Linked DNA regions of Oryzias latipes. The protein of the gene in region 4 purifies or fractionates together with the protein of the main gene of each other region. This does not show direct contact. Links are inferred from orthologs where the notes say so. Each region holds a gene or a part of one and is shown on either strand. Other genes may lie near its edges.

What was found. The genes of interacting proteins can lie anywhere in the genome.
Region 1: the proteins of dcaf7 (region 4) and tcp1 purify together in Homo sapiens (affinity purification with mass spectrometry; 3 studies listed by BioGRID and IntAct, counting the BioPlex papers as one, with this or other methods). This does not show direct contact. The link is inferred for Oryzias latipes from reciprocal best matches to the Homo sapiens genes DCAF7 and TCP1.
Region 2: the proteins of dcaf7 (region 4) and sowahc purify together in Homo sapiens (affinity purification with mass spectrometry; 4 studies listed by BioGRID and IntAct, counting the BioPlex papers as one, with this or other methods). This does not show direct contact. The link is inferred for Oryzias latipes from reciprocal best matches to the Homo sapiens genes DCAF7 and SOWAHC.
Region 3: the proteins of dcaf7 (region 4) and plk1 purify together in Homo sapiens (affinity purification with mass spectrometry; 3 studies listed by BioGRID and IntAct, with this or other methods). This does not show direct contact. The link is inferred for Oryzias latipes from reciprocal best matches to the Homo sapiens genes DCAF7 and PLK1.

Annotation. Positions count from the first base shown.
Region 1 is NC_019882.2:7,310,815-7,315,332, reverse strand, and holds the start of tcp1 (T-complex protein 1 subunit alpha), read right to left. Parts: upstream 2,881-4,518; 5' UTR 2,822-2,880; coding exon 2,749-2,821; intron 2,302-2,748; coding exon 2,216-2,301; intron 2,134-2,215; coding exon 2,005-2,133; intron 1,719-2,004; coding exon 1,621-1,718; intron 652-1,620; coding exon 541-651; intron 423-540; coding exon 241-422; intron 1-240. UniProt on the Homo sapiens protein: Component of the chaperonin-containing T-complex (TRiC), a molecular chaperone complex that assists the folding of actin, tubulin and other proteins upon ATP hydrolysis.
Region 2 is NC_019879.2:18,178,465-18,182,948, forward strand, and holds the start of sowahc (ankyrin repeat domain-containing protein SOWAHC), read left to right. Parts: upstream 1-1,604; 5' UTR 1,605-1,785; coding exon 1,786-2,098; intron 2,099-2,393; coding exon 2,394-2,770; intron 2,771-2,849; coding exon 2,850-3,239; intron 3,240-3,408; coding exon 3,409-3,873; 3' UTR 3,874-4,484. Other genes in the region: sept10 (septin-10), read right to left, coding at 40-154, 768-797.
Region 3 is NC_019859.2:22,726,288-22,730,728, forward strand, and holds the start of plk1 (serine/threonine-protein kinase PLK1), read right to left. Parts: upstream 2,881-4,441; 5' UTR 2,479-2,880; coding exon 2,116-2,478; intron 1,771-2,115; coding exon 1,602-1,770; intron 1,417-1,601; coding exon 1,272-1,416; intron 1,184-1,271; coding exon 1,090-1,183; intron 1,000-1,089; coding exon 774-999; intron 668-773; coding exon 625-667; intron 550-624; coding exon 452-549; intron 364-451; coding exon 286-363; intron 199-285; coding exon 44-198; intron 1-43. UniProt on the Homo sapiens protein: Serine/threonine-protein kinase that performs several important functions throughout M phase of the cell cycle, including the regulation of centrosome maturation and spindle assembly, the removal of cohesins from chromosome arms, the inactivation of anaphase-promoting complex/cyclosome (APC/C) inhibitors, and the regulation of mitotic exit and cytokinesis.
Region 4 is NC_019866.2:4,065,165-4,069,469, reverse strand, and holds the start of dcaf7 (DDB1- and CUL4-associated factor 7), read right to left. Parts: upstream 2,990-4,305; 5' UTR 2,742-2,989; coding exon 2,604-2,741; intron 2,345-2,603; coding exon 2,186-2,344; intron 1-2,185. UniProt on the Homo sapiens protein: Involved in craniofacial development. Acts upstream of the EDN1 pathway and is required for formation of the upper jaw equivalent, the palatoquadrate. The activity required for EDN1 pathway function differs between the first and second arches.

The sequences.
Region 1 (4,518 bases), on a different chromosome or scaffold from region 4:
TAAATCCTGTTTGGCCAAAAGAAGTGCCAGAGTTTAAATATCACTGCCACTAGACTTCTCTTCAACCAGTTTACTATTTCCCACGCGTATCACTGCGTATACCACCGAGCAAGGTATAGCAGCAAAAAAAAATGGGACTTTAAACAACAGTAACTTTACAGAAAGGTATGGAAAAAAAAAACGTGTGAAAGTCCACACATTTCAAACTAACAGCTTTTTGAAAAACATTGAAAAACACACCTTGTGAACCAACTGTGCAGTTCAGGGCGTATCCGTTAACCAAAAAACTCTCCTCCTGGCTGCGACCGTGAGCTTTCAGCACATTGACAGAGTTGATCGGGTATTTGGCCACTCCTTTGCTGTCCACAAACTTCACAGCCAGGGCAGCATCAACCACCATGTTTGCAAAGAAGTCTGAATCACTGAAGACTGAAGTCAAGGTAAACAAGCGCTCAGTATTCACTTTTAGCACAAGCACAAACACTTGACTGAGACGACGTAATTTTCCAGGAAGATTTGACACATTGTCGGTCAGGATACACTTTTATGATTTTTGAAGACATGGAGGTCTTGGCTGCGTTGATCAGGCATTCTCTTCCCAGATCATCAGTCCCAATGGTGAGGTTCTCATTTATGTAGCGCACTGCCTCTCTACAGGAAAGAAAAAAAATGACTCAGAGGTTTTGTTAGACTTAGAATTCATCTTTCACAACGGTTACTGTTAGGGATGTCCCAATCTGATCACGCCACTGTAATTTGAGCCTTAATCTGGATCAGATGTTTATTTTGTCTTTAACATCAGAGTTATATGTTTCAAGCTTACTATTACAAATAAATACTATACTAGAAGTCTTTAAATCATGAACAGACTACGACATTATATTGCTGTAAAGCGCAGCAGAATACGGCACTTGTTTGAGCAAAAACAGTTCAGGAAAGTTAGCAAGATATTTAAAGATTCAGACTTCTAGGCTAAAAAATTCTTTTAATAACCTTTTAAAACACAAATGTCTTTTGCGTTTTGTCTTAACTCGAACAATGACCTACAACGGCATTTCAAAAGAAAAAGGTTGTGTTTTGGTTTCCTTTAATGAAAATGGCTCTATCCGTGGTGCTGACAGAGACAGCAGTGAGACCAAGAGACCATCTGCTAAGTGAAAAACTCAGTTGAGTTTTTCCAGCAAAGGGAAAAGAAAAAAAAATCCATGTCCCAAAAACAACCGAAACTATTAAATGGTTGAATAACTAGTCATGAATCATATTTATGCTACAACAACTATTTAACCTTTTTTTTTAAAGAATATTGAAGAGATATGAATCACATCTGATCAAAAAAGTTAAATAATTCTGAAGACACTAAAGCAACAGTCAAACTTTCTCACATGACTAATCATCCATTTTTACTAGTCAATAGTTAACATTTTTTTCTTGTTGATAGTAGCACTATCTTTGCTTGATTGGTCAAATTACCTCATTGTCTAAGATCGTTTAAGCATTGGATTGGGACACAAAATGTAATGATTCGCAATCAAATCGGGCAAAACTAAAAAAAAAAAAAAAAAAAAGAGAAAAATAAAAACAGTGATCAGGACATCCCTAGTTATTATTAACCCATCTCACTTGCAAGCCAGGCGGTATCCATTGATGACTGAGGTTGGATGAATCTTCTGCTTTACCAGCTCGTCTGCACTTTTCAGTAGCTCTGCAGCGAGAATCACCTGCCAGAAAGTATTACAGTGATCAAAATGACATTTTAACAATTTACACATTTAAATTTTGTACCATCGTTTCATTAGGAGTGGCAGAAATGAGGCTGCAGAACCCCTTCAGACACTGAGGGATAGTTTCTCTATCCTGTTAGCATAGCCACACATCCGTAATAAAAGCAGATGCATGGTACTAGAACAGGATTTTGTTCTAAGATTCAACACACGGAAAGAGAACTAAAATCCCCAACACTTCCTCTTTCGGTGGATTTGAGAGGAGCTGTCAGCCAAGACTTACAACAGATGTAGTTCCATCTCCAACCTCCTTGTCCTGGAGGTCAGCAAGCTCGCACAGGACTTTGGCAGCAGGATGTTCTACCTCCAGCATCTTCAGGATGGTTGCTCCGTCGTTGGTGATGGTCACGTCCTGTCAATTTCAGGATGGGAACCATATAATCAAATACAGGACGCAGAATTGTTTGTTGGTTTTACTTAATCACGAGACAAACCCCAATGTCGTCCACCAGCATCTTGTCGAGGCCGTAGGGTCCGAGAGAACTCTTGACGATGTTCGCGATGGAAGCTGCGGCCATGACTGCAACAACACGGAAGTATAAAGTCATCAAGTGCGCTTTGAAACAGCTAACTACAAATTGAAAACAACAAACTCTCGTTTTTTGAGATGCACGTAATATTTTATATAGCAACAGGCAAATAACGGACCACACCTTCCTACTACATCATGAGATGAGGCTCATGAGCTAAACCGCTAATCCGTTAAAGCTAAATCGCAAAACTTAGCCGTATATTCATATATCCAAATAAAAGTATGGATATTGCTATAATTCTGTGGAAAGAACGCGCATCCGTGCTGGTTAAAAGCAATGCGAGCTAGTTAACACATCGTCGTAACGATAACTAGCACTAGCATGACTGCACGTGTGTGCTACATGCGGAAACCTCATTGACACAAGTACCGCTCTGCAGTCTATAAATACTGTAAATAAAACAAAATTACAAAATGAAATGAATAGCAGTTCACCATTTTGAGTGCGAACAGATTCCCCAGTGCTTCTCTGGCCGAAGACATTTAGCGGACCTTCCAAAAGCGACATTTTGGAGCACCACACCGAGAAGAAAGAATCAACCCGGGTGCATTATGGGTAAACCGGCAAAATGACGGAAGGTTCGAGAATTAAAACGTGTTAAAAAAAGTAAAGAATATAGTTTTACACAAAACAACCTTATCTACTTTAAGTTTTGAAATGTGACATATGTCGTATCGAAACAAGAAGAACGACTTAGAAAAGTATACACTTTTTTAAACTGATATTTATAACTACATTTCCCAGAATGCTTTCGATTGAAAGAACTGGCTTGAAGGTTTGCGCCCCCTACTGACGAAACACACTTTTGCAAAAAACTAAAACAAGTTTCTTACATTATGCTTTTTTAAAATTAGTTTTTCCTTGATGTATTTGCTTTTGTTCTTTAAATTTTAAGATACATTAGATACATTGATTCCCATAATGAAAATGTCTTTTTGACCATCTGTCACCTCTGACAAATGATTCTCTGAAGCTAATGCACCTCTGCTCACAAAAAATATTTTTGCCATATTGATAAATTTGTTTTTTGGAAACAGCAATCAAAATAAAAGTGTTTTACACTTCTAAAGGTAAAATGAGCAAAAATAAATATTATTCTTTTGCACATTTGTTCTGTCTTTTAGTTGACAATAAAAGTTATTCTTGTTACCAAATGCAACAATGTTTTCTTTAACTAATTATTTTTCTAAACAAACTGAAATGATACATGTATGCATGTTAAACACTAAATTAGACTTTCAAAGTTCAAAAAGTGGTTTGAGTGAAGTCTAATTGTCAATTATTAGCTGTATCTAATATTGTCCACATCTCCTGCTTCTTGGAGTTCTTTTCCTTCTTTTTTTTATTAACTTCTCCTGTCCAACAACTGAGGAAACAGATGAGAGCTGAAGCCCTCTTGTGTTGGACATATTTTTTTTTGCAACATGGGGTTATGAATCTTCTGACACACATGGTATATATTTGAATTAACCCCTTTTGTAATTTATACTAAACTATATTCATATTAAACATATATTTGTAACATTTTTTTTTGTTGGATTTGAAAGAAAAACAAATGAGGGAAGAAAGATGAATGTTAGAGTGGGGGGGGGGAATAATTAAACATCAAAACTTGCTGGAAGTTTTGATGTATAATAAATCTAAAAGGGAAGGGGCTGTCCACACACACACTCAAATGTTACAAACATACCTTTTGGCTCCAATAATGTTCACATATAAACAGGTAAACATGGGCATAACACAACTGATGTTCACACACGCATACAAATGCATTCAGGCTAAGAGTTTGCATGCATTTAGTCATGCTAAATATTAGTGCAAAGGTGAGCTAACACCTGTGCTCAAGTGAGTGTTTATGTTATTCTGAGGTGGATGATGGAATGTAAAAAGAAGGAGGGAGAGGGCCCATCATCCCCGTACCAAGACCCTGCTGCAGCAGCAGCGGCAGCCAGATCCCCCCAACACCCGCACAGTGGCAGATAGAGAAAAGCCATCCGCTGGGTGATCACATCCGCTACCCAGCACAACTGCCACAGGGGCCCAAGTAGAGCACCCCCAGCCCCAGACAAGCATCCCATCACCACCCAGGAGTTCTGAGCATCCCCCCTCCCCAACCCCAGGCACGCGCCAGAGCCCCCCAAGGGAGACCCGCCCCACGCTCCAGGCAGCCTCTCACCAAGTCCACAGTTGGTCCAGAAGAGAGC
Region 2 (4,484 bases), on a different chromosome or scaffold from region 4:
CCAGGAAGACATGTTTGTGTGTTGTGCATATTCATGTACCGATGCACAGAATATTGAAGCAAAAGCCTTGGCAAATGGACTTGTTCACAAGCTGGTCCGGAAGGCTGTCAAAGCCCACATGGCCGGCTAGAGACAGGGGTCTTGCTCCTTTATCCTGTGAAATGCCAAGTGCAAGCATTAGGTCCGTTGTTAGGGGGATGTTGCTTTATTTTTCTATGATCAGTACCAACCCAGCTGAAGGAAAAACAACACTCCAAATATCAGGGGACAAATATCTGAGCTGTCAGTGATTTTTATGACAAACTTTGTTGTTGTTGTTTTCGTTTGATTACTTGTAAGTGTTTGATTTCTTACCTTAAAACCAGCATAAAACTAGCATGACATGACTTTGCAAAAATGGATCATTTAACGTTCAAATGTGCAAACACACAAGCAATTATGAGACAAATAGTTTGATTTACACAAACAAAGCTTCTTGCAGAAAGTTATGCTAACCCCACTCGGACAATCTTGCTTTCATAAAACACGCAACACAGATTCTAAGAAAAAATTCACGTAAAATACAATAACAAACATAAAAAGTGCTCTGCGAGTATGCCCTTTAGTTACTAAAAGCGTTAGCACTATTTTATAGTTTTAACTACCAAGTTTGAAAAACTTTTATGAAGTAAGGCTAGCTGGATGTGACTGCATGTGTTAGCTTCGGACACTCCCTGCTCAGCTGTCAGGAACAGTCACTGGAAAACCACACAAAAAACAAAACTTACCGGCTGCCGAGCAACATCAGAAGAAGCCATGGTTTCAGACTAAACTTAAAGGCGTCAATTAGGACAACTATTATTAATTAAAACTGGGGGAAAAAATCCGAGATGATGTCCTATGAAATCCAGAAAGAGCGCCGTTGAGTCTGCACTCGACGAATGAAAAGACGATACCAATCACAACAATGTAGAAATGAGGGTAAACGTTTGGTTTGGCAAACCGTTTTAAAACACGTAGTTCCATAAATGTCATAAATAGAGGTTATAGGAATATTTAAACTTTTAAACACGTTTTTCATCTTAAGACTTTATAAAAAATTTAACTAAATACAGCAACATGTTATGCTATGCTATAAATTTGTCCCTTTTGTGCAATGGTATAGCCCATGTGAATCTTCCCAGTCACTCCCAATTTTATAGTTATGTTTTCGAACGGAACAGAAATTTGGTAACTTTTCAAGGAACGATTCATTGTGAATTTTGTTTCTGACATTTTAATTTAAAAGTGTACCACGAGACCTCAAACGTGTTAACAACTGAAAACAAAAATCAATTGATTTGTTTAAATCTGGAAGTAAAAACGTATGTCCTCAAATCCAAACATGTTTTAACGCATTACAGTAATTTGTTCTTCCGGGAGTAATCAACAATTTGCTATTTTTAAGATGTTCAAACGGCGATGTTAGTGTCCACCAGCACATGCAGCTGTATTACGTGGATTTACGGCGCTATTTTTTATTTAGAGGTTTGGACACTCGTGATTACGAGGAGTCCCTAAATGCAACTCTTTGCAGTTTACGAGATTCTTCAAAAAAAAAAAAAGAAAGAACAGCTCAAGCGCGACCCCTATCGTTCAATGCCCGCCACAGGTTTTCCAATGGAGGAAGGAGGAGGCCGGAGAGGATGCGATTCTTTGCTGCCACCGAACCAAGTGGATGAGCAGTACCATGAATGTATCCTGGGAAGTTAATGAGTAGCTGAGCCTGCGACTCTTTCCAGTCATTAAAGGAGGAAGAGGAGGGCGATGGCATCCCAGATCACGGAGGAAGCCGTGCAGGGGTTTCTGTCGGAAAGAGGAGGGAGGGTCCAACAGATGGAGCTGATGGATCATTTCTTATCTCTCCGTGGGTGTCATGACCAGTCAGACGAAGGGCTGCGGCGCATCGTCGACAGCCTGTGTTTGGTGAAGGTGGAGAACGGGGTGAAATATGTGTGTCTGAACGCGATGCGTTCGGACTCGGGCGGCCCGGACCACCAAGCGGAGTGCAACGGCAACATCCAAGAGGCGCTGGACAACAAACATGTGAACGGCAATCCTGAAAATGGAGTCCAAACAGGTGAGGGGAGAGGATGTTAATTTTTCCCTTTGCTGGATTTTTTTTTCAATTGTTTACATTTAAGTTTTTATGTTTTGTCGCAAGTGGTAAAACGCTGTTTTGAAGCATAATTGTATTTATTTTATTTTATGTTTTAACTTTACATATTTTCACAACAGTTTTATTTTGAAAAATAACAGAATTATTTCAGCAGATATGGATATTATCTATGCAGAAAAATTACTGTGTGCATCTTTTAAAACATCACTACACATAAACTCTGTTGAAGTGGAAACCCCGTTTTATTCCTCTACAGAGGCACCACTTGCCAGCTTGGACAATAACAAACAGTCAAACGACAACGAGAATGGGGCCAGGTCTCAGTGTAGAATCAACGCAAGGACGCCTGCTACATCTACAGGTGGAGGGGAGGTGAGGCTGAGGGACAGGAGGAGGCGAGAGTCGGCCCCAGTCATTGCTGTGCAAGATCTGGACCAGGGCCACCCTGCTGGGCCACACTGCCAGCAGGTGCGAGGGGCTCGCAGGGTTTCCAAGGGATCCCAAAGAGCCATCCTAACCAGCTGCTTGTCTGAAGACAGCGCACTGGAGGGACTGGAGTCCATTGGGGATATTCACACACCCAAGGGCAGCCGCAGGAACTTTATAGAGCTGATGATGAGTACTTCTCCTCAGGTTGGAGTTTTTTTTTTCATTGATTTTCTATATTTGCATATAAAAGTGCCAACAAATGTCAAGAACTTAGCTCTCACAGGTTCGCAGGTCGCTGATCAACCGTGGGCCCCGTGTCCGAGACTCCCTGAGGAGCGAAGGTGACTCGGCGTCCCTCCTCTCCTCAGCCACCGATGAGGACTGTGCCTTGGTGACTTTGGACCCACTAGAGCACGAGTGGATGCTTTGCGCCTCAGACGGCATGTGGGAGAGTCTACAGCCGCTGTTGGCCGTGGAGCCCAGCCTGGTGGCCAAAAGGGACTTTGTTACGGGCTTCACCTGCCTCCACTGGGCGGCGAAGCAGGGCAAAGCCGAGCTGCTGTCCCAGCTGCTGGGCTTCGCCAAGAAGAACACCGTACCTTTGAATGTGAACGTGAGATCTAGTGCTGGATACACACCGCTGCACCTGGCTGCCATGCATGGTCACACACAGGTGGGTTGCAGGGAGTAGGAGACACTCAATTTGATCTCAAATAACCCACATTTCTTTAAAAATAACATATTAAATTTACAAAAAGAGAATTGTTTTTCATTCTTTTATAATTTGCTGATGTATAGCCGGCATTTATAGAAGAGCAAATGCCCTTCACTGTGGTTGGCAGGTGGTTCGGCTGCTGCTGTCAGACTGGGAGGCAGACCCCGAAGCTCGGGATTACAGCGGGAGGCGAGCCATCCAGTACTTGCCCCCACCGCTGGCTGCTGACCTGCAGCAGGAAGGAGTGGTCACCTCACCGACCGCCGAGTCGGACGCCGAAAACGGCAGCGGAAGCAGAGGTGGAGGGCGAGGCTGGAAGCTGGCCAGAGTGCTGCAGGGCAACCTGAACCCTCTGCGGCGACTCCACCTGTCAGCTGAAGCGGCGGAAGAGCCGGCGGGGAGCGGGAAGGCCAAGGGGGCCCTGCAGAGGAAAACGTCCCTCAGCCGACTGAACGCCAAACTGCATCGTGGGCGCCACCGGGCCCAGATCATCCACAGCGCCTCCTTTAGGGACTCTGGAGAAGTGGAGATAGGAGAAGACGCAACCAGCAGTCCACTTCGCACTAGACCACTATCCAGCCTGTTTGGGTGAAGTACAACCAGCAAAATAACCAGCATCTTTAAACAATTCCATTTCCACATCTCAGAGTTCCAATATTTCCTACAAATAAACAAAGATTTTTTTCTTTAGAAATGGTCACTTATTCTCCTGAGCTTTAATTTATCTTTGTTCCGAATGCAGTGAATAAGCTTTTTGCCAATCACACAAAAGGGAGGTCCCTCTTTTTACCCGTCAAACCCATTTCTTTAAATCCAAATCAGATCAGCGGATCTGCATATATTCAGCTTGTCCTAGTTGTTCTGTCTAGAAAGGCCTTGTTTAAAGAAAGTAGCAAAACATTAGGATTCTGTTCACACAAACCTAAAAATACCTTGATTATGTAGCCTTACTGTAGGTCAGAAGCACTTTGAAGTGGTTCCACACTTTTTCCTCCATAAAAAGCATCAGATTTGTTTACAGAGTCATATATTTTTAGTTTTTCAAATGTGAATGATGTCCCTTTCCTGTGTTGGAGTGGTGCTGAAGCTTTCTTTTTATGGTACATTTCTGGAAAAATGGATTTATTTCATGAAAAACAGAGTTTAATATTTACTGTTCTTGTATTGATCAACCTGTTTGCACTCGTCACTTTGAAGTCTGTA
Region 3 (4,441 bases), on a different chromosome or scaffold from region 4:
TACCTGAACAAAGCAACAAACAGAATTAGCTTCATCCACCAACCTTTTTGTTGAGAGAAGCAGGGAATGAGCGAACGCTTAAATAGGACTCAGCAGCCTTCTTGTCAATGTACTGCAGACTGTCGCCATCAGCATACATGATGAGTCGGGTGAAATCGTTGAATAGAACACCAACACTGTTGTCACAAAGCTGGTATCCTGCGAAAGCAATTTACAGCACACCCTTAATTCTCCATTAAAAGCAAGACAATAAAAGGCAAACCTGTCCTAAGATTTAGAATTTACCTAATCCATATTTGTCAGAGTAGTCGACCCATTTACTGATCCAAAAGATGGGAATACACGCAGGATCCTCTGCTTCCTCTGAAATCAAAGACAAGGGGTTTTCTGTAAGAAGGACTGACTAAAACTGCAGAAAGTTTAGGTAGTTCCTGCAGGCGGCTGCTCTCACCTTGCCGAATGACCGCCTTCTCTGAAGGCTTGGCAGAGATGATGCTGTTGAGCTGCTGCAGCATGTCCTTCAGGTAACATTCTTCTGGCTCCGCCTCTCTGCACACAAAATTCCCATTTATCATTTTTGATCAAACTACGACGCATGTTTTAGACCTTAGTGTGATGTCTCACAGTGGAGCAGGCTCGTCTTTCATGTCCACCTTCTCTGTGCCGGCTGAGAAAAAAAATATATAAAAAAAACCTCCATCAATATCACTGTTGATTAACTGCAGACTTTCATTATCAGTGCACCAGTTTTGGGCAATTGTTGGGTTTGTTACCTTTGTTGTTTATGGCAGTCAGGGGGCGCCTCTGGCTGAGCTCTGCAGCCATGGAGGGGGCAATGGAGAACCGCGGGGGCACAGTGAGACAAGTGGTGGGCAGCCGCAGGGGGACGTATCCCGATGTGAAGAACTCATCCGTCTGCAGGTCAGTGATGGTGGGCCTCTGGGCAGGATCGGCATGCAGCATCCTCTTGATGAGAGCCGAGGCTGACGGGTTGATTTGCTGCAGCATTCAAGTGAAGTGACGGTAAACTTAAGATTTTCTTTCACCAACTATTACGTACATTTAGGGATTAACGTCAGCTCTTCTCACCCAGGGGATGGTGTAATTGTTCTTCTTGATCCGGTTGTATGTGTCTTTCAGGCATGAGGTTTCAAACGGAGGCTTGCCGACTAACAAAGTGTACCTATGAGAGGATACAGGAAGGAAGTTGAGTATCCAGAATCCTGTGGAATGACACTCTTCCCCACTCCACTGTGGGTTTACACACTTACAATATGCACCCAAGTGACCAGACATCCACTTCATAGCTGTGGCCTTTCTTGCACAGCACTTCCGGAGCGATATAGTTGGGCGTTCCACACAAGGTCTTCTTCCGTTCACCATCAAACTCAATCTTTGTGGCCAAACCAAAGTCACCTAGCAAAAAAGGAAAGAAAGAAATGATCAGCGTTTAATCTGAGTAAAGGATATTAAGAAGCCAAATATGGGTGTTAACAAATTGGAGCTGGAAGTTCTCAACAAGGAAGTTATGGGAGCATATCAAGAACATGGGTGTGCCCGTTTCTTTGTCACTACACCGACAGGTTTCCTGCTCTCCATACCTATCTTGACTTCCATGTCGTCGTTGAGGAAGATGTTCCCCAGTTTCAGGTCTCTGTGGATGACCTTGTTGCTGTGCAGATAATGGACCCCTTTCAGCAGCTGGGTCATGTAGTAGCGAGCCTCCGGCTCCGTGACCGCCTTCCTGCGCTTGTGCAACTCCAACAGGGACTTGAAAAAGGACAACAGTTCTGGTGAGCGGCTGAACTCAGTGGAGGAAAATGGAGGCTGGGAGAGCATGAACAAGCTGGATGAAGTGAAGTGGCACCTCAAGAAGTGTTAAAAACAACACGTGGAACAACACAAAGGGGAAAAAGAATTTAGATATCTCTATAGTTTTAAATTACAAAAAGTTACTGGTTTAGGATAAGTAACAGTGATTTAAAGCAGTGATCAGGGGATTTGAGTCTCCCAGCACTATGCCAAAGGAGGGGGGGGGGGGGGGGTAACGGAAGAGGCCACATTGTTAACCGTTGGCCTTCATGTATTTTCATTTAGAGTTCCCAAAATCCTCACCCTTCTCCTGCAGATCTCCAGGACCACATAGACAAAGTCGTCGTCCTCAAAGAAGCCGTGGAAGCCCACGATGTTAGCATGATTGAGGCTCTTGTGAATGGAGATTTCCGAGCTCATCTTCTCCCTTTGGTGCTGCTTCAGGATCAACGACTTGGGCACTATTTTGCCAGCGAAAACCTGCTTGGTCTCCATGTCTGTAATTTCGAAGCATTTGGCGAAGCCCCCCTTGCCGAGGAACCTGCCCTTGGAGTATCTCCTCAGGGTGCGGGGATCCACCAAAACCTCTGGGATTTCTTTCAGAGGAGCCGATTTTGGGTCGACGTGTCCGGACGGCTGCGCCGGCTTTGCGATAGCAGCACTCATGGTGTACTTTAAAAGTGCTCTTTCCGCGTTAATAAAACTCCAAAGAAGTCGAAACGCAAAAGTTATTAAACAAGGGCTAAAGTGTTGTTTAACCCTCCAACTCAACCGACGTTAGTTTAGCCTTCGAAGCTAACTTTTTCTACGCCTCAATTTACAGCAAATACTAACAAACGATCTAAACCGCAAACGTTGACTAACATTTAAAGGCCGACAGGTCCCAAGATTAAATAAATTAATTAAAAAAAAAACCGGAGGCAGAATTCTTGCGCAGACTTCCCCGGCAGCGGTTGCCTTGTCCCGTTCTGCCTTTTCGATAACAAGTGTCTCGTACAAATTTAAAATGCTGGCTCGGTCGTTTTGGCGATCGTTGATTGGTCTGCTAGATTTGAATTCCACAGCGTCACAGCAAAGCATCTTGGGAACATGTGTACAAAAATAGCCAATCAGGAGTAGAGTAGAAGGCCTCCAACAATCTGATTGGCTGAAAGGCTGTTTTTGTTTCCTCGAGAAAGACGGATGGGAAATGTAGTCGGGAAAAGGATTTAATTTCGAAAGTGTTTTGTTATTAGCGTTATCCGAATTATGGCCACTCCTGATCCAATATCGATCATTTAGGTTCATGTTATTAGTTGAACACTAATATTACATGAATGCAGAGGATCATATGAAGTTTATTTAATCTTTGTTAGACTATGAGTTTTTTATGAATTTGTCATTTTCACTTTTTGGATGGATTTTTATTGACAGACATTGTTGGTTCAGGTTATACACTTTTATTTTTATTGATTGCCATGCTGACTGTGTACACTCATCTTGCGCCACACTTCCTTGAAAAACTTTCAACTTTTCATAAATTGAGAAACATGTGAGTGTTTGCTTTCTTCTCATGTTTTCTTTTAATTTCTACTCTGTTAGAACAACCATTAAATACTGTTTCAAACCAAATTCTCAGACAGTGCTATCGGCATTCTAAGTGTATCATTGTAATCATTGAAAAGCCACAAATGCCCTCTGTAGATACCAAAAGGAGTTCATTCAGTAATTGCAGTGGTTGAATAATTTTCAGGTCTAGAAATGTCCACTATGGGGACAAGTTTTTATTGCCGGTAGTGAGGAGGATATTTTTCACTCTAGATTGGTTGAAATTCAAAAAGGATTTTGAGCAAAAAAGCCTCAGGGTTTAACTTGAAAGATTATTTATGCTGGAAAGCATAAAATGGTGAGAAGCAGTAAAATATAGTGTAACAAAAGCAATATGAGAAAGTAAACCTGCAGTAATGGTTTAATCTGTCTTGCCACACTAAAAAAAAGTCACATCGTTTTTGTGATACCAAGATTATTGTTTATTTGACAAGATGTTAACATGATGAAATTAAGGACTTTCACTTTCTGATCATGATGGTTAACCTGTTGATGCCTATACTTAAATAATAACTCCAGAATACATGAAGATTCCCAATTTTTTACATTTGGATATTGACTGTACTGTTTGGTTTCAACATGCCAAGCTAAAAAAAAAAAAAAAAGTTGTTTTTCCCCTAAGGTTTTCATTTCTTTTTTTCTTTATCCACCACTGCATGGTAGTTGGGGTAACCAGTTAATAGATTGCTGGTTGCTGGCTGATCAACATTTTGTGGTAAATTAATTTGGGTTAAGAGTGTAAAGGGGGAATGGTTATGGGACACTAACTCAAAACACAGCTTGTTGAGGGGATGCTTACCTGAAGACTGCGGGGACTTGCTTGCACCGGTGCATCCTAAGGCTACAAACACACCGTTTATAAACCATCAGAGGTTGTAAAGGAATACAGTTCAGTAGTTTGGAGGTAGCATTACTTATTCAAGAGCCACATGTTTTTATTTGAGCTCTGCCTGTGGGCTAGAATAATATTTCAAACTTCTCCAAAGCTTCTAACTAAAGTTTTCCTTTTTTTATCTTTTGGACAAAAGCTTTTGTGCCTTGT
Region 4 (4,305 bases):
ATTATCCCGCCTTTACGATGGTCACTTACAAAAGAAATAAATATTCAATCAGTTTTTAGTACTTTATTCTTGCTATTTTTTGGGTTTAAATAATTGTTCTCACAAAAAGCAGACTATTTCTTACGTTGTGCTGCAAATTGTCTTGTGACCTCGACTGGAGCGGCAAAGGAAAATGATATATCCACACCCAGCAGCCAATCAGAATTAAGTATTCTTTCAGACCATGGTATAAGCATGTATAAACACTGGGGCTGGGCGATATGGTCTAAAAAAATGTTTTTAATTGATTTCTGATTTTTTCCGATTTTCCCCCCTACCTAAGGAAAGCAATAAGTACAAACGGCAGAAAACTTAAAGCAAATTTTGATTTATTTAATCAAACGCAAGACAAATGTAACCCCCATTTCTGGGATGAATAATAAATAAATGAACACACTCCGGGAATCAAAGTCCCAGCTGTGTTTTAAGTCAGACTTACACCTTGAGAGTAGCACCATTTCTAAAGGATTAACAATACAGCTCATATCTGGGGTCTAAGGTTTTAATTGAATTAATAAAGCCCGTTTTCTCCACAGTATATATGGGTACCATGTCTTTGGCTGTATGCAAAGCGACCGCTTCAGTGATTGTTCTCCACCGTGCCCCTAGGGATGGGTACTGAGCCCCCGTATTGAACGAGCCCCAGAGCAACATTCTTCAAGATCTGACCTCAACGGTTCTGCTATCCGTACTGGAAAAGTCGCATTTTTTCTGTGTCCCACAAGATATAAACTAGAGCTGTCACGGTGTGGGATTTTTGATCACCGCGCTGACGAAGCAGCAGGAGTCGCGGTCAACCCCCCCGCCTAACACAACATCCGGCATCGCAAATGAATACACAAATAAATGTAATTCATAATTGCAACGCAGTATTCTTTATTAACAAATAACAGTAAAAACTAACTACGAAGTAACTAATGAACTAACCATATAGGTGTTGGAGAATGAGTGTGCGTGTCAGCGCACTGCGTGCGTGTGTAAGAGGAATGAGCGCGTGCCGCGCGAGAGTGAGTGACAGCGTGCTGGGGGGGGGGGCGTTCATGTTTGGAGTTACGGATTGAAGGAGAACTGTAATAAAAGGTTTCCCCCAGGTGTTGGAATAGGTTTGTGGTGCTGTTGCCTTTGACTGCGATGGGCTTTAGGCAAATGTTGCAGCGTGGGGGGGGGGGCTCTTCCTCCACGTCGGTGGCAGTAAGCCATGTTGTCGCTTGCTGTTTCGTGTGTGCTATGATGTTGTTGTTTGTCGCTTGCCACATTGCCGTGTGAAACTAACGCTACGGAAGCTCCGGGGAGCCAAAAATGCGCCATTACACAAAAACTCGATTCAGTTATTTTTGAAATCGCCCGTAACAAAAAATTCGAATTAATTCATTCAATCGATTTTTCGCCCAGGCCTAATAAACAGCATTGCGTGTGTTTTTAAAAAATACTTAAACTGATGTTAGAAGCCAATTAACAGGCATATATGTAACCTGCCAAATGATACTTTTAAAAGAAACTGTGAGGCATCACAAAAGTTAGAAATGGGAGGAAAAAAAGTATAACGACAGGTTTCATTACATACATGGAGCCTTTGTCATAGTGGTTCAGCATTATAGCTATAGTTCAGGGAAATTTAAAAAAAATATATACAAATGCTGTGCTTTTTAAAAGAAAATAAAGAGGTAACATACACCTTTTTATTTAAAAAAAAATGCTCCAGACATTTAGTTTACTTTTACTTACTTACAGTTCTATCTCATTTCAAAATAAAATTTCCTCACTTCTTTCACTTTTGTCTCTATTTTGAATTGTATTTATGTAATTTTATGTTTAAATGTGTTCTATAATCTATTTTATAATTTATTTATTTTTTTGATTGTTTCAAGTCTATAAAGCACTCACTGTTGTATGAAAAATGCCCTATAAATAAAGTTTCATTTGATAATTGTAACATTATGCTTACAGGTCTGAAAATCCCCTTTAATATAAAAGAGTTTTAACACATAAAGCAGCGATGCGGCAATGTAAAGCATGACAAGTATAAGTTCCTTCAAACACACCGATGTAAAAAAAAATCCCAAAGTGAAAAGTACTCGAGTTACAAAGAGATGACCCAAACAAAAACATGACAGACGCAGCAGGTGACCGGGGTTTGACATCCTACCCTCCAAATGCGCAAATAGTCTCCACTGGTGGCCAGCAGGTCTGGGTAGACCCCTTTGGTGTCCGGGATCCACATGATCTTGGTGGTGGGGTAAGGGTGATCAAACGTGTTCCTGCAGACAAACTCGGAGCTCTCCTCTTCCAGACCCACCAACTGAACCTGAGTAGAGATATGATGACAAGAAAAAAATAAAAGCGATTCGTTCTAATAAAAAATAAATTAATTAATTAATTAAATTAAATTAAAAAAGGGGTACCATTAAGCATCGATGGAGACGTTATTACGAAGATAATAAACGCAATAACATTTTGCAATACCACTCTAAACATGTACAGAGCTAGCATAGCACTGATTCAAGCGCGTTTGTTCGTGAAGGGTTAGCTGACTCAAAAAACAAAACATAAAACAAGCTACGCACCTTGTTGTTATACTCTTCCACAAAGCTCCCGAGGGCCAGCCGAAAGCGTTTATCCGGACGAACGCTCCAGTTCATTGCGTACACCGTCCATGGCGCCTCGTACTTGTAGATTTCTTTTCTTTTGCCGTGAAGCGACATCCTCACGAGCTGTTGTCTGAGCAGCTAACACGCTAGCCCTAGCTTACTGTCAAATAAGAAAACGCCGCGACGAACTTTTACCGGCTCGTTTTCCTATAATAGAAAAGCATCAAAAGAAGCACGGTTGACTGTTAAAAACGTAAATCTTGTTCTAAAACAAGATTTTACAGCACTTCACTTAACAAAGAGTAGCATTGCTTGTTACGATCTTGATGGCGAACCATCTAACCGACGTATGAAGAACTTCCTGGTTACACTTTCAAAATAAAAGAGAGTTTTTAAAGAGCACTCATTAAAACTTTTAGTGAGAACGTTTGAGTTTATGTTGTTAAATTAAACATGTGTTTTATGAATTTAATTATAATTAAAATAAAATTTACGTAATTTTTTTGCTATGTATTTCTCACTGTCAGGCTGTGTTTCAAAATAGTTTTATTTTTAACGTGTCTACCGGAAGCGAAATTATGTAGTTACGTCAATCTTGATTACTGTCTGCAGTTGTGACCATAAGGGGGTAAATACAGTTTACAGGCTTCAAGATTGTTTTTCTTGTAACATCTTGTCTACATATCCTAATGAATTTTATGTTTATTATACGATGCAGCGTCAATGTTTACTTTCTAACGAATGTGCAGTCTTGTTTCTATGTTTAATTTTGACACATGAACCGGAAGTAAGATTATTCCAATTTGATTGAGCCCTTTTAGTTGCTTTTTCTGTCCAAAAAAATATCGTATACCACACCAAATATCGAACCTCCTTGTGACGGTGTGGCACTGTCAGCTGGTTTTGAAAGGAACTTGTATTTGTTGCTGTCAAAAGTATTCCTAGACAATTTATAATTCAATTAATGTAAAGTTTATAAACCATGGTATGTTAATGAATGGCTTAATTACCACAACAAGTGGCCATTAAAGTCCTCAATTTTTCACCTCTGCTCCCTGAAACATTCCGCTTAAATTCCTCTCATTTAAATGCAGCAACTTTGTCTTGCTGCAGCTGATCTTCATTCCTCTGCATTCCAGAACAAATCTCCTAGATGTTCCTCCACCTGCTCTCTGCTCAGATCGTGATGTCAACTGCAAACATCACGATCTATAGAGGTTCCTTATCTGCCAGTTTGTCCATCCATCATCACAGCAAACAAGAAGGAGCTCAAAGCTGATGGTGCAGTCTCACCTCCAGCTTGAACTCTTCTGTCACACATACAGCACGTCTTATGTCTTCCAGCTCTAATGGATGTCCTGAACAACTCAAACATACTTCTCTATCACTCCAGACTTTCTTATACAAATGACAACTCATCTTGCAGTAAAAACACTCTATTGGTTGGTGATTTAAAAAAAAAAAAAGGAAATCTTGGTGTGTCTTGTTATCTGTCACTGCAAGAGAACACATGCTAGACTTCTGGAAAAAGTTTTCTACATCGTTGCTTTTATTTTGAAAGGCAAGTCATGTCACTGGCAGTTTCCTGTCTCAAACGGAACTTTACTCCAAGGACAGTTTCAAGTTCTTTTCTCCTAACCAGCTTCGCGTTCATTGCTATACTTTATCCTCAAGGTAG